2 linked regions of the Arabidopsis thaliana genome follow. The protein of the gene in region 2 interacts with the protein of the main gene of each other region in a pairwise test. Each region holds a gene or a part of one and is shown on either strand. Other genes may lie near its edges.

Evidence for each region.
Region 1: the proteins of MC1 (region 2) and LSD1 interact in binary tests that used the Arabidopsis thaliana proteins (3 or more experiments, as listed by UniProt).

Annotation. Positions count from the first base shown.
Region 1 is NC_003075.7:11,000,998-11,008,458, reverse strand, and holds LSD1 (LSD1 zinc finger family protein), read right to left. Parts: upstream 3,943-7,461; 5' UTR 3,745-3,942; intron 3,625-3,744; 5' UTR 3,563-3,624; exon of another isoform or gene 3,448-3,562; coding exon of another isoform or gene 3,433-3,447; coding exon 3,309-3,432; intron 3,220-3,308; coding exon 3,115-3,219; intron 3,030-3,114; coding exon 2,998-3,029; intron 2,903-2,997; coding exon 2,857-2,902; intron 2,626-2,856; coding exon 2,486-2,625; coding exon of another isoform or gene 2,465-2,485; exon of another isoform or gene 2,386-2,464; coding exon 2,314-2,385; intron 2,222-2,313; coding exon 2,150-2,221; intron 2,063-2,149; coding exon 2,021-2,062; 3' UTR 1,671-2,020; downstream 1-1,670. Other genes in the region: AT4G20390 (Uncharacterized protein family (UPF0497)), read right to left, coding at 590-847, 965-1,088, 1,180-1,391; TSF (PEBP (phosphatidylethanolamine-binding protein) family protein), read left to right, coding at 5,494-5,694, 6,340-6,401, 6,926-6,966, 7,225-7,448.
Region 2 is NC_003070.9:408,994-416,073, forward strand, and holds MC1 (metacaspase 1), read left to right. Parts: upstream 1-2,670; 5' UTR 2,671-2,889; coding exon 2,890-3,265; intron 3,266-3,466; coding exon 3,467-3,797; intron 3,798-3,889; coding exon 3,890-4,010; intron 4,011-4,086; coding exon 4,087-4,302; intron 4,303-4,373; coding exon 4,374-4,433; 3' UTR 4,434-4,561; downstream 4,562-7,080. Other genes in the region: AT1G02150 (Tetratricopeptide repeat (TPR)-like superfamily protein), read left to right, coding at 1-145, 226-1,440; AT1G02160 (Cox19 family protein (CHCH motif)), read left to right, coding at 1,810-1,900, 2,184-2,368; AT1G02180 (ferredoxin-like protein), read right to left, coding at 4,626-5,224, 5,431-5,512; AT1G02190 (Fatty acid hydroxylase superfamily), read left to right, coding at 6,161-6,677, 6,749-6,968, 7,052-7,080. UniProt on the Arabidopsis thaliana protein: Cysteine protease that cleaves specifically after arginine or lysine residues. Does not cleave caspase-specific substrates. Acts as a positive regulator of cell death.

The DNA of each region.
Region 1 (7,461 bases), on a different chromosome or scaffold from region 2:
AATTAATCTTCAAATTAAGTAGTTTTGTTGATTTGTATATCTGAACTAAATTAAACAGTTATACTATTTACACTTCATTTTTACTAACCAAAAAGAAAAGGATTTCAATAGTTATGATTATTGATTCACATTTATTAGAGACAGTAGGATCATTATTTACAACACAAAAATTAAGTTGTATGGGAACTACAATGCGATAGAACTAATACTGATTTGTTTTTTAGTCGGTTGATATAATTCATTTTAATGTAAAAAACTAACAATTGATTAGAATTATATTTCCATAAATAGAAGAAGTAGTTGAGAAATAAAAGGTATAAATTATCTTGAATTGGTCTTATCTAATCATCTATTGTAGATTTTTCTCATTGTTTCAATGTACTATATACTTTGTGAATTTTTTTTTGTCATTTTAGAATTATATAAAAAGATAAGAGAGAAATGAAAACTTGAATACAAATGTGAAAGTGATAGAACAAAGGAGTGCATTACACAATTTGCTAGTGACTTGAGAGACAAACACACAAAGTAAGCCACAACATCTATAAAATGGTCACACACATGTTGCTGAATTTTTGGCCACGATGTTTTAGACGACGGAGGTTGTGGTGGCGGTGGTGGAGAAGTTTTTAGAATTGATTAAGAGGCGGGAAATAGAGACGGCGGACACGAGGAGCATTAGAATGACTCCGGCGAATGCTGCGATGATTGCTCCTGCGCCGTGATCACAGTAAGTGGTGAACCTGTCGCAGACTTTGTTCCACTTGGCGTGCTTGTTTCCGTTCTTCCCTAGCTCTGCCACGAACACCGCCGCGTTTGCAGCCGCAGATACTAGTGTTGCGTTTAGCTTTTTTTCCAACGTTTTTTTAGATTATCAAGAAACCGTTTAGCTTTTTTTCCAAACGTTCAAACTAATTCAATTGAAATCAAACCAGTAAATTGATTTGAAAACCAATGTTTATACCATGTCAAGAATGGCGATAGAGAGGAGACGAAGACCTTTGTACTCCAGTTTCCGGCTGAAAATCTGAACCACAATCATCAACAAGTTGTGGAAGCTCACCATTACATTAGCTATAACAAAGAACCTGTAAAACCAAGAATCAATGTTAATAACTCAAAAACATTTTGCTTTCAATATGTATCGAATCGATTTCGTATAGGGTTTTACTCGCTTACACAAAAGCCGGTGTGTGCTGAAACTTAGCGGTTAAAGTGGCTTTAATAGGAACAGTACCAATGGTGGCCACAACCAAGGTCTTTGTCTCTTTGTTTAGTGACATTACAATGGCTGCAGCTAAAGTAGCCATGAATGCAAATATTCTCAGCCCCAAGAGTAGTTTCCAGCTCTTTGTGGTACCACCAGCCACCACAATCTTCTCTCTGGCCATTGTTGATGCAGTGAGTGATCAAGAGAAAGTGATGAAACTTTGTGTCAGTGTTAAAGAGTATTTATATGGAAAGAGTTTGGTCTTGTTGAGAGGTTTTGTCGGATCATCTAACTTTAATGTTCTTGGAGGGTACTGACTGATTAGGTTATGGTTGTTGTGACAAGATTACTGCAAAATAGATTTCCAGATTTCAAGACTTGCTCTAAGACAAGTCTTATCTACCAAAGCTAAGACCAGTTCTTGTGACATGTAGCATATCTCATCCACGGAAGAGACAGATTTCAAACCCAAATCTTAATGATTGGTTGGTGTATCAGATTATATTCATACATACATTAACAATGCCACAAGGGCCGATGGAGTTTTAGAAGTCAACAAACAGAAGAGAAGGTCAAGTTCCATGGAGCAAAAGAATGCCAAATTATTCGAGCAAAAACCTTGTGTCTTCAACTTTGAATAAACCCCAATAATGCAGTAACAAGAGATTCTGATAAGCTTTTTCTCTTGGGTTAAAAAGGAGTCAAGAGATATATAACATACAGTTTTTCCGCGTATGTAATATGCACAAACCAAACGCAGGAATAGAGGAAGAATTTGGATTTGATCTTTAAGATCTCACTCATTCTTGATTACTTTTTGTCAGTTGTCACTCCAACAACAACATTGCTCACCTGCAATTTGTGTGTTTCAGTCACTTTGTCATATCTTCCTCTAATGTGGTAAATAAGAAGAAGAACACAGGTGATAGAAATACTCACCAACTTTCCGCTTTCATCAACGGACATGGGGTTTTCTACAACAACGGTTTGGGTCTGAGAGGGTGGTGTTGACTGTTGGTAAAATGAAAAATCGATGAACAGAGTAAGTACCAGTTCCATAAGAATATACAGAACTATTACAAATTCATAATTTGATAACTCACAGTTGATGTAGAGGGGGGACAAGCTGTTCCATTTGGCCGGTTAGTTGGGAGAGGTACCCTTCCATTGCTCATCTAAGGATGCAAAATGAATCAGAAATGAAAATTTCCAACAGAAAGATCTCTATACTTAACTCAACCATGCAGAGGTGGCTTAATAGATAGGAATAATCACATTAACGTTAGTTACGAATTGACAAACAGCGCATTTGACGGATGATGCACCGTAAGGATACATGAGGGTCGTCCGACAATGCCCACAATTGATCTGCGCAACCTGACTGGAAGGAGCATGGGCAACCTGATTGGAGTGCGCTGTCGATTTCAAAAAAGACACGCACAGATTCAGAAAACAAGCAATGTTAATGCTAGAAAAATCCAAGAAATACTAATGAACGAAGTAATCAGCAATGTTCTTAAGCAGTCATGGATAAATGATAATCATACAGCTAAATGACAACAGCTTAGACGCTAATTAAAGATAAGAATCTAATGGTAGATCAAACAAAACAATAATAAACCCTACTAGCTCTAACAAGTAGTTACCTAGTCCACCGGGACCATCTAAAAGCTTTGTTTTAAGTACTTTCAGCTGCTTTACAAATCCCAGATATTTTCAGAATTCAGATTCATATACATCTTTGGGAAAAGTGGAAATACGTTACGTAAGCATCATCTCCACAGAACAATGTTATCAAACAAAAGTGTGAAAGAAGATTCTAAAGGACTAAAAGACCTTATAAAGCAATATAATACATGGTCTTTAAAAGGATTGATATGGATGTCACGATATTATTAATATACCTGGCACAAGGTTCGTAGTTTGACAGCAAGAGCATCTTACGCTACTAGCCCCACGCGTATACATAAGCATTGTTCTACAACCACCACATATAATGTGTGCCATGTCTGTATTCAGAATCAGAACCCAAGTTATAATACAATTGCAGAGCATATTAACCTCATCCTCAATTCAAATTCAACAAAGAAATCGATACCGTGAGGTGGAGGAGGAGGAGGAACCATGTTGATAGTGTTACATAACGCACAACGCACATTAGATGCTCCTCTAGGATACATCAATAAATTCCTACAACCATGACACACCAGCTGGTCCTGCATATCTGCTACTTTCATCCAAACACACACAAATTGCTTCAAAACAAGACCCACACAGATGAAACCCTAAACATTTCACAATACTTAGTCATTGCAAGGAAGCAATTGGAGATTCAAATACCTAAAAACTCACCTGATTAACAAAAAGAGCTGATTTTGGAACGAAACCCAAATCCAATTCAAAGCCAAAAACTTCTGCATCCAAATCAAAACAAGAATTGTGTGTTGAATCAAACAAACAAACAAGGACAATGATGAGATTACAGAATTGGCGAAAATTGAAAAAAAGGAACAAACTTTGGAGCTTGTTCTTACCGATTGGAGAAGGGTAAGGAATCGAATCCAAAACCCGCGAAAGCTAGAGCGATGATATGCAGAAAATCCAATCCAAATTGAGGAGATAGACAATAGATTTCGATTTTTCTCTCTCTCTATCTCCAAAATCTCAATGCCCGGATTTATCTCTCTGTTTTTCGTAATTTACGCTTCTTTTTTTTTTACATGACGCGTAAGGGTTTTTTTCTCGGTCATAAACGCGTATATACAAACGCAGCGATTGGCTTCTGCTAATTAAATATGAATTTTTATGCCAAGCATACGTCCATAGATCAATTAATTATGGGTAAAAATATATTTTCTAATTTTCTGCAAATGGTGTAATAATATTAAATTATTTTTTGTCTACCCCTTTGAACCAATGAAAATTCTATAATATTTGTGTGTTAAATGAAAAATCGTACATGCTGCCAAACAAAAAATTCATAATAAATAAATGAAAATCGCATATAAACTTTAATCAAATGTTCTGAACATAACGTCCCACGTATGTTTTCGTTTGCTTATTCATATCGGAAGAAGAGTAATTTGCGCATTTCATATTACAAATTGGGGAAATGGACAATAAATTGGAGAGCAAAAATCATAGCCATCTAACCTCACACACTTTTCTTTTTGTTAGGTACCAGAAATATCAAGAATCACTGAGCTAATTGTATTCTCATGACTTTTTGTGGTCAGCAAATGAAACTGGTCTGCAATAGTTTTTAGAAGTCTTTATCGGTTTATTTCTCATGTGTTTTGTCAGAAATTTCTTAGAAATTTTTGTCTTCCAAACTTGGGGAACTAAATTTGTTTGGAGTGTAAGAATACACGGTTGAGCTTTTAGGTAATACACTTGTTTTTGAAAGGTATAATGAATTTTAAAAAAATTACTTTATCAACATTTAAGATTTGGAGACAATTTTGAAATCACGTTTGAAAACGAATTTTTTGGCCAATTGTTCACTTTTCTGTCGTTATTATACTTCTGTTACCTTGTGTCTATTTGTTAATTTACTTGTTTTATTTGATTTACTCCATTGTTTTAAAAGTTTTACTGGTTTGTTTTGTTAAATTGATATTTTTGATGGTATTAATTAAGTTTAGTACTACATTAAGAAAAGAAAAAAAAGAGTCTAGTACGTATGTACACACCAACCAGATATGTGAACAATTATGGCGTCAATTTATCTGGAGCATATATACTTTTATATGATGGTTTAGGTTGAAGGAGTTATTCTAAAATGCATTAACATCATACATAATCGGTGTAATGTAGTGTCCTTAACTATTTAAATGAGTGACATGTGACGCAAAATGCGTGACGTACGCAAATATGCAGCATATTATATGCTTGTGACATTATTTTAAATAGTTCATGAAGTTACAATGATAAGTCAGAATAAATTACATACTAGTGGCTAGCAAGAAACAAGTGGATGATGTATAATTTGGAATATGATTATTTCTGTTTTATACTGGTGGGTTTTGGAATAAGAATACTATAAATTTAGAAAAAAGGAAAGAAAAAAAAAACATGAATTATAAGTGATATACGTACGTTGAACGAGTTGTAGATTCTCGAAACTATACACGAAAAGACCCTGGTAATGATTTCATTGGAGAGAATAAAGCTAAATAGCTAATTATTGCAATTCCCAAAACGTTATATAAAGAATAGCAAGTAAGGGTTCATAAGGTAAGAAGCAAAACATTTGATTGAGATACTTGAGATCCAAGATAAATATGTCTTTAAGTCGTAGAGATCCTCTTGTGGTCGGCAGTGTTGTTGGAGATGTTCTTGATCCTTTCACGAGGTTGGTCTCTCTTAAGGTCACTTATGGCCATAGAGAGGTTACTAATGGCTTGGATCTAAGGCCTTCTCAAGTTCTGAACAAACCAATAGTGGAGATTGGAGGAGACGACTTCAGAAATTTCTACACCTTGGTGATCTTCTCTCCTTCATTCCTCTTATCTTCATTGATTTAGTTCCTCGTAGCTCACTCTTTCGTTTTCGTAAGCTCCATATATTGACGAAGAAACCTTAGATATATCCAAATTTAAGCGTAACTAGATTTGATCATTCTTTTCTTTCGTAGCCTCATCTATATACCTGCTGCGTTTCCTCTAACTTCTTGCATGCATAACTGTTATTGGTTTGATTATTATTTTAAATCAATTTTGAATCTTTCTCGATTATATATATTACGTTTTCAAGAGACGGTTAACTTGATTTTGTTTCGCTTTTATTTTTATTTTAGTTTTTTTATTCTAGGATACATACCTTTAGAAAAGCATAAATATCTTAATTGACACTTATTTTAACGACTTTTGAATCTGAATAGTAAAGCCAGTATTTTTAGATACCCTTATATTAATGGAAAATGTTACTATTACCTTTTTCTAATTTAAGCTTCTTCGTCTTTACTTCTTTTTCTATTAACTTTTGGTTAACTTCTTCGTCTTAATGTGTGTTATCACTTTTCAAGAGTTAAAAAAAAAAAATCAAACTCATGATTTAATTTCTTGATTGCTTTAATATATTCATAATCGATCTTCTCTCTTATACGGTTGTTGATGGGTTTAATAAAGGTTATGGTGGATCCAGATGTGCCGAGTCCAAGCAACCCTCACCAACGAGAATATCTCCACTGGTTTGTATCATATCTCTTCATTTCATTTAACTTAACTTTAGATCGTGCATCACACTTATTTTCGAGTATAAATAGAAAACAAATAGGTAAGGTATATATGGGAATTAGAAAAAGACTTTAAAATTTAGAGATTCAATACATATCTCAAGTGACACACAAAAAACGATATTTTAGATTTTTACTAATAATAGAAGGGGACATACAGAATCAACTTTAAGAGAGCAGCAACTTGTCAAGAAAAAAGATGTCTTACGTATACATCCAACATAGAGACTTTAAACAGGAATAGAACATGACTTTGTGGTCAGAGTTAGTTTTTGTTTTAGTGTGTGTGTGTGTCATGTTATATCATAGCTTGCACGCAACAAACGTCTATTCTTCATAGTCTGACCTTTTCTACATGCTTTAGACGAAACTTTCAAAAACTTTGATGCATGCTTTGTTTTTTAGTCGAATTTAGTTAACTATCTGCAGGTTGCACTGCACCATATCTTTAACTTTAATGGATAATACTCTCGTTACAGGTTGGTGACTGATATACCTGCCACCACTGGAAATGCCTTTGGTAAGTTTAAGTAACTCTGTATAGATACATTAGGTAAGATAGATAAAACTCATATCACCAAGCTTAGGCTTTGAATAGTGTTAGCATGGAGCATATATATTCTTAAGAAGATATCTATTTTTATATAGCCTTCTTAATTTATATGTATGTTGCAACAATCAAATCTTTAATCTATATAAAATAAGCGACACAAAACACTTACCTAGTGGACAAATTAGGAAGGGCTAATTAATATTTGTGTTTATGATTGTTTATCAGGCAATGAGGTGGTGTGCTACGAGAGTCCACGTCCCCCCTCGGGAATTCATCGTATTGTGTTGGTATTGTTCCGGCAACTCGGAAGACAAACGGTTTATGCACCGGGGTGGCGCCAACAGTTCAACACTCGTGAGTTTGCTGAGATCTACAATCTTGGTCTTCCTGTGGCTGCCTCTTACTTCAACTGCCAGAGGGAGAATGGCTGTGGGGGAAGAAGAACGTAGATGCGTACCTACT
Region 2 (7,080 bases):
GATTTCGCTGATGGAGAAGCCAGAGCTTGGCGCTGCTTCCGTCTTGAATCAGTGGGAGAAAGCCGGCCGCAAGCTTACCAAGTGGGAGCTCTGTCGGGTCGTCAAGGAGCTTCGCAAGTACAAGCGTGCCAACCAAGCTCTCGAGGTCCGTGTCCTCCTTGTATTTGCCCTCGCTTTATTTTGTATCTTTAACACTACTTACTTGATCGCGTATCGTTTTCATAGGTGTACGACTGGATGAACAACAGAGGCGAAAGGTTTCGGTTGTCTGCAAGTGATGCTGCAATCCAGCTCGACTTAATCGGCAAAGTGCGTGGCATTCCAGACGCCGAAGAGTTCTTCCTCCAGCTCCCTGAGAATTTTAAGGACCGGAGAGTTTATGGTTCCCTCCTCAATGCCTATGTGAGGGCCAAGTCGAGAGAAAAGGCTGAAGCCCTGCTCAACACCATGAGGGACAAAGGTTACGCCCTGCACCCGCTTCCCTTCAACGTCATGATGACTCTCTACATGAACCTCAGGGAGTATGACAAAGTCGACGCTATGGTCTTCGAGATGAAGCAGAAAGATATACGTCTCGACATTTACTCCTACAACATCTGGCTCTCCTCTTGCGGCTCCTTAGGATCAGTTGAGAAAATGGAACTAGTGTATCAGCAGATGAAATCGGATGTTTCCATTTATCCCAACTGGACCACGTTTAGCACAATGGCCACAATGTACATAAAGATGGGTGAAACTGAGAAAGCCGAAGATGCACTGAGGAAGGTTGAAGCAAGGATTACTGGTCGTAATCGCATTCCGTATCACTACCTCTTGAGTTTGTATGGCAGCCTTGGTAACAAGAAAGAGCTGTACCGAGTCTGGCACGTCTACAAATCTGTTGTCCCGAGCATTCCCAATTTGGGTTACCATGCCTTGGTCTCGTCGCTGGTGAGGATGGGAGACATTGAAGGGGCCGAGAAGGTATATGAGGAATGGCTTCCAGTCAAGTCTTCTTATGACCCCAGGATACCAAATCTTCTGATGAATGCGTATGTCAAAAACGACCAACTAGAGACAGCTGAGGGGTTGTTCGACCACATGGTTGAAATGGGAGGAAAACCAAGTTCAAGTACGTGGGAGATTCTAGCTGTTGGTCATACCAGAAAGAGGTGTATTTCAGAGGCTTTGACTTGTCTTAGAAATGCTTTTTCGGCTGAAGGGTCCAGCAATTGGAGGCCCAAGGTGTTGATGCTGTCTGGTTTCTTCAAGCTCTGTGAAGAGGAATCGGATGTTACCAGTAAAGAGGCCGTTTTGGAATTGTTAAGGCAGTCGGGGGATCTTGAAGACAAATCTTACCTAGCTCTTATTGATGTGGACGAAAACAGAACAGTAAACAACAGTGAAATCGATGCCCATGAGACCGATGCGCTTCTAACACAGCTACAAGATGATTTGTAATCTGATAGTCCTAGATCTTTGCTTTAAAAAACGAATCTTGTAACCGGAGTCAACTGAGGAAATGCGAAATATGTATAATGTACACAAGAGACTGCCTAGTGAAACATGAATGTAAGAGCTGTGTCCCTTTTTGTGACAGCTATTTGGAATTAGTGTTGCTTAGGGAACTGGATTAGCCTTTGTTCTCTTGTTTGATTGTTGTTACTTGTTAAGACTAATATTGGAGAGGTTAGGTTGTGCTCTTTTATTTTGGGCCGGACGGATAAAAGGCCCGATATTGAATATATAAGTCTGAGAGTCTCAAAGGCCCATCTCCATTAAGATATCTTCGCGGAATCGGTTGTGAGAGAGAGAGACGGTGATCGGGAAATGTCGACGAAAGGCGCGGCGGCGGCGTACCCTAGCGCGGCTCGGATATCTGATTCTCCATGTTATCTTCAGTACTCTGCTTCTCTCAAATGTGAGTCATGCTCCTGATCTCACCCTTTGTGATTGTTTCTTCGAGGATAGGATTTGACATGTTATCTTCAGTACTGTCAAGTTCCATAACGAATTAGCATTGATTAGATCTCATCTATTTCATTATGCTTCCTCAAGGTGATTAGATTAGTGGGTTGAATCCCATGTCAGTGATTCGATTTAGGTCCCATCAATTGATAACGTCGGGTTTGATTCCTGATTGTTTATGTGTTTCCGTTTTCATTAGTTATGCCTCTTAGCTTGACCCCTTGATTTCTTATCAGGTCTTGAAGAATTTGGATCAGACAAGAGTAAATGCCAGGATCATTTTGATGTGTACAAGGAATGCAAGAAGAAAGAGGTTGTTGTTGTGAATGAATATTTAGGCTTTTGGCGTTTCCAACTTCTTTGCTGCTTTACCTATGTGTTATTTTGTTTCTCAGAGGGAAGCTCGACTGGAACGCAATAAGACACGGTCGTTGTTCTCGTGAATGCAGATCCTCGAATACCAATGATGTCTCAGAACATCACCTAGCTAGTAGTATCCTGTTGTTTCATTTGCAATGGCTGTGTTTGTATGATCTATCTAAGTAAACAAGTGGAAAGTGTTTGTTAATGTTACTTTTTACTCCCCATTGGTGAATCATGGTGTATACCTGTTAAACTTTGAGAGCAAGTGGTTATTTATTTAGTTAGAGAGTTAGAGCTTCTCCACCACCATATTGAATAAGAAGATCTTTCTCTCATTCTTTTACTTTACTCTGGCGTCTGAAACAGATCCAGGGATTCCAGTAGTGAATTGGGCTTAAAAACTGTTATATGGGCTTTCGAAAGTAAAAGGTTCGGTGAGCTGCCAAAGAAAAGTCAGATGCCTTTAATCGCATTTGACGACGATTCTTTACGTGCGCCATTGACTGCATCGTCGTCTTCCTCACGCGATTTGGTAATCCGATTCGTCTTCATCTGATTCCCTCCCTTCCGAGAATAATAATGTACCCGCCACCTCCCTCAAGCATCTACGCTCCTCCGATGCTGGTGAATTGCTCCGGTTGCCGGACGCCTCTCCAGCTCCCATCCGGCGCCCGATCTATTCGCTGCGCTCTCTGCCAGGCTGTTACTCATATCGCCGACCCTCGCACCGCCCCTCCTCCGCAACCTTCCTCCGCCCCTTCTCCGCCTCCCCAAATCCACGCGCCTCCCGGTCAGCTGCCTCACCCCCATGGCAGGAAGAGGGCCGTGATCTGTGGCATCTCGTATCGTTTCTCTCGCCACGAGCTCAAAGGCTGCATCAACGACGCCAAGTGCATGCGTCACCTTCTCATCAACAAATTCAAATTCTCCCCAGATTCAATTCTCATGCTTACCGGTACAGAGTATTTCTATCTTTTCAAATGCCTATGTTTGCTACTATACTACTATTCCTTGGATTTTGAATACAATTTTCCTTGGCCTCTTCAATCTGATAAACACACATTCCAAGTTACCATTTCGAACCACTTTGATAAAAATGTGTTGCATTCCATAGCTGACTAACTAATTGTTCATCATGGATGGTTTTCATTCTCAGAGGAAGAAACTGATCCATATCGTATCCCGACCAAGCAAAACATGAGGATGGCATTGTATTGGCTCGTACAGGGATGCACAGCAGGCGACTCACTTGTCTTCCACTACTCTGGTCATGGTTCGCGTCAAAGAAACTACAACGGTGATGAAGTTGATGGCTATGATGAAACACTCTGTCCTCTGGATTTTGAAACTCAGGGGATGATTGTAGACGATGAGATCAACGCAACCATTGTACGCCCTCTTCCACATGGTGTCAAGCTCCATTCAATTATCGATGCTTGCCATAGTGGTACCGTTCTGGATTTACCCTTCCTATGCAGAATGAACAGGTTATTAGTCCCTCAACCGCTTCTAAAAGGGATGTTGCTTACCTCTCTCGTTATATTTAACATACATCCATTTTTTTTTTTAATTGAAACAGAGCTGGGCAGTATGTGTGGGAGGATCATCGGCCTAGGTCAGGTTTGTGGAAAGGAACTGCTGGTGGAGAAGCCATTTCAATTAGTGGATGTGATGATGATCAGACTTCGGCCGACACATCAGTAAGTAGAACGACTCTAATCATACGTCTTGCTGTTGTAGTTGGTTCCTCCTCTCATGATTAAAACACATACACAGGCGCTGTCGAAGATCACGTCTACGGGTGCTATGACTTTCTGTTTTATTCAAGCAATTGAACGCAGCGCACAAGGCACAACCTATGGAAGCCTTCTGAATTCTATGCGCACCACAATAAGGAATACAGGGAATGATGGTGGTGGTAGTGGTGGAGTTGTGACGACTGTGCTGAGCATGCTTCTGACAGGGGGAAGTGCGATTGGGGGATTAAGACAGGTAAAATTCTTTCTTGCTCTCTTGTGTTGATACAGATCGATAAATGTTTTCTTAAATCTGTTTTTTGACAGGAGCCTCAACTGACTGCTTGCCAAACATTCGATGTCTATGCAAAGCCTTTCACTCTCTAGTAAAGGACAAGTCACTTTTTATGTATAGCGAGTGTGATTTGAGAATCCGTCCATATAACCACCTTTTGTTTCTTATTTTTATTTTTCTTTCAAAAGAATAAAGGAAAACATTGATTTGGTGATTCGATAACAAAATGTGCCATCTATTCTTTAGTCTTTACAAACAAGCAGCAAATGGTTTGCCTTTCAGAATCAAAATTTAAGGTGTTTCTCGAATAGACAGAAGGAAGAGAAGAGAAGTCCCAGAAAGCTGTTCAGAAGGCGCATACAAATCATGTGTGCGTTGCTGCTGCAAGGAAAAGCACTTCCGCTGTAGCAGCCTGTTCTTTGTTTGATACCCCGGCCGTTATCTTCCAGTACAAAGGAGGAGTTTTTCACACCATCGCTAAAGAGAAGACACCAAAAGAAGGTACCTTTATGCAACCTAGCCATTCCCACTCCAACCTCGGTATGCGACCTGTTTCTGAGCACCGACAACGCACTGCTATCTCTAAAGAGAATGTCTGAGAAAGCGACTTCTGGTGCTGCATACTTAGAGCTGCAGCCGAGGATATGGCCAGTTATGGTACCAAAAGTGGGGAGTTCTACACCACAGTTTGGGGCAAACACCTGAGTGAAGTCGTCTTCAGGGTGTTCACAGCTGAGAGTGTTGTTGACATTGCAATTCCCCTCGCAGAGCTCAACATACTGGAGGGCCATGCAGCCAAGACCGGGACTCTCATTTAGTTTGCCTAGTTTCCGAGCTGTTCTGTTCTGGTTCAAGATGCTCACCATTTCATGAGCTGAGTTTCCTGCAACCATTCTAACTAACACTTAGTCCGCCTAAAACGAATCAACATAATATAAACTGTCGAATCTGGTTCTGACTAAAGAAAGCGAACTCGAGATTAAATCAGAGGGAGTGGCTGTAAATTCAAAATAAAGCCTGGCCAAATGCTGAACGAGAAATCCAAGTCTATATTCGCATATGTTATGAGGGGATAAAGCAAGGAGTTACCGTGCAATTTGGAGCTAGCTAGCACTGATGAGAGTGACAGAAACAGTAAAATCAACTCCAAAATGCTGATTTCGTTCTTCATATCGTGTTTTATCCTCTGAATTCCCAGCGTAATAGCTCGAGCTGGCGGATTTTCGAAAAATCGAGAAAAACAAAAAACAGAAAAGGAGAAAGTTTTTGAAAGGAGATGAGCTTGATGGAGATGTTGACTGGTCCCTGAATAAATGAAAAATGTGTTGCATTATTTCTATTATTGAGAAGAAAAAAACCAGGCATTTTGGTTATTGGGCTTTGATTTGATGTTGGGCTCTCAACCATTGAAATTGAATGAAGAAAGAAGGAAAGTACGTGACTTGAATTTCATTTACTTCATTAAATGGGCGGCGTTGGGGCCGGTGGAGGTGGGCCAATGACATTGATGTGTAAACAGAGGTAAAGCCGAATTTTGGCTAAGGCGAATCAATGCCCATTGGCTCCTCTCCTTACATATTTGAAGTTTGAGGTTTCCTTCCTTTTCTTAAATTAAATGTTGCTGTAACATTTCTACTATTGTAAACCGGGGCTCCACCACCATGTGCTTCTTCAACACTGTATCATCAGAGCCCACATGGTCATGCCTCTATATAATACTTTGTATTATTATTATTCTTATGTCACATTATAAACAAGTACCTCCAAATTGCACTTCCTTCAAACTTATTCGACAGTAGACTAGCTCAAGTACCTTTGGATGGCGTCGAGGCCCGGAGCTCTTACGGAGTGGCCATGGAGTCCCCTTGGTAGCTTCAAGTACCTCTTGGTGGCCCCGTTGGTGATGGCGAGCATGCACTCGTACGTGACGGCTGTGGATGAGGAGAAAGACCTCAGCAGACTTATGATAGTCGTGTTGATGCTGTGGAGAATAGTTCACAGCCAGATATGGATCAGCGTGTCTCGCCAGAGGACGGCTAAGGGAACGAACAAGATCGTGGACAAGCCCATTGAGTTTGAGCAAGTGGACCGAGAGCGCACTTGGGACGACCAAGTCATCTTCAACACTCTCCTCATGTATCTCGCAAACATCAAGCTCCCAGGCGCCTCCCACCTTCCCCCATGGAGGCTAGACGGGGCCATCCTCATGGCTCTACTTCACGCTGGTCCCGTCGAGTTTCTCTACTACTGGTTTCACAGAGCTCTCCACCACCATTTCCTCTACTCTCGCTACCATTCTCACCACCACTCCTCCATTGTCACCGAGCCCATCACGTGTACGTACCTTTATCCACCATTTGCTTCTATTCTATATACATTCATTCATATCTTTAATCAAACTTGGCAGCTGTGGTGCACCCCTTCGCCGAGCACATCGCCTACACACTACTCTTTGCCATACCTATGGTAACGGCGTCCCTGTGTGGGATCCTCTCCATCGTTTCCATCATGGGATACATTACTTACATTGACTTCATGAACAACATGGGACATTGCAACTTCGAGCTTTTCCCTAAGCGTCTCTTCCACCTCTTCCCTCCCCTCAAGTTCCTCTGTTACACCCCCTCGTACGTCGTTTGTAAAAACACTACTATTTATTTGGATTTGAATATATGCATGCATTTATAACATGGCATCAAATATGTTGAAGGTTTCACTCGCTCCACCACACGCAGTTCC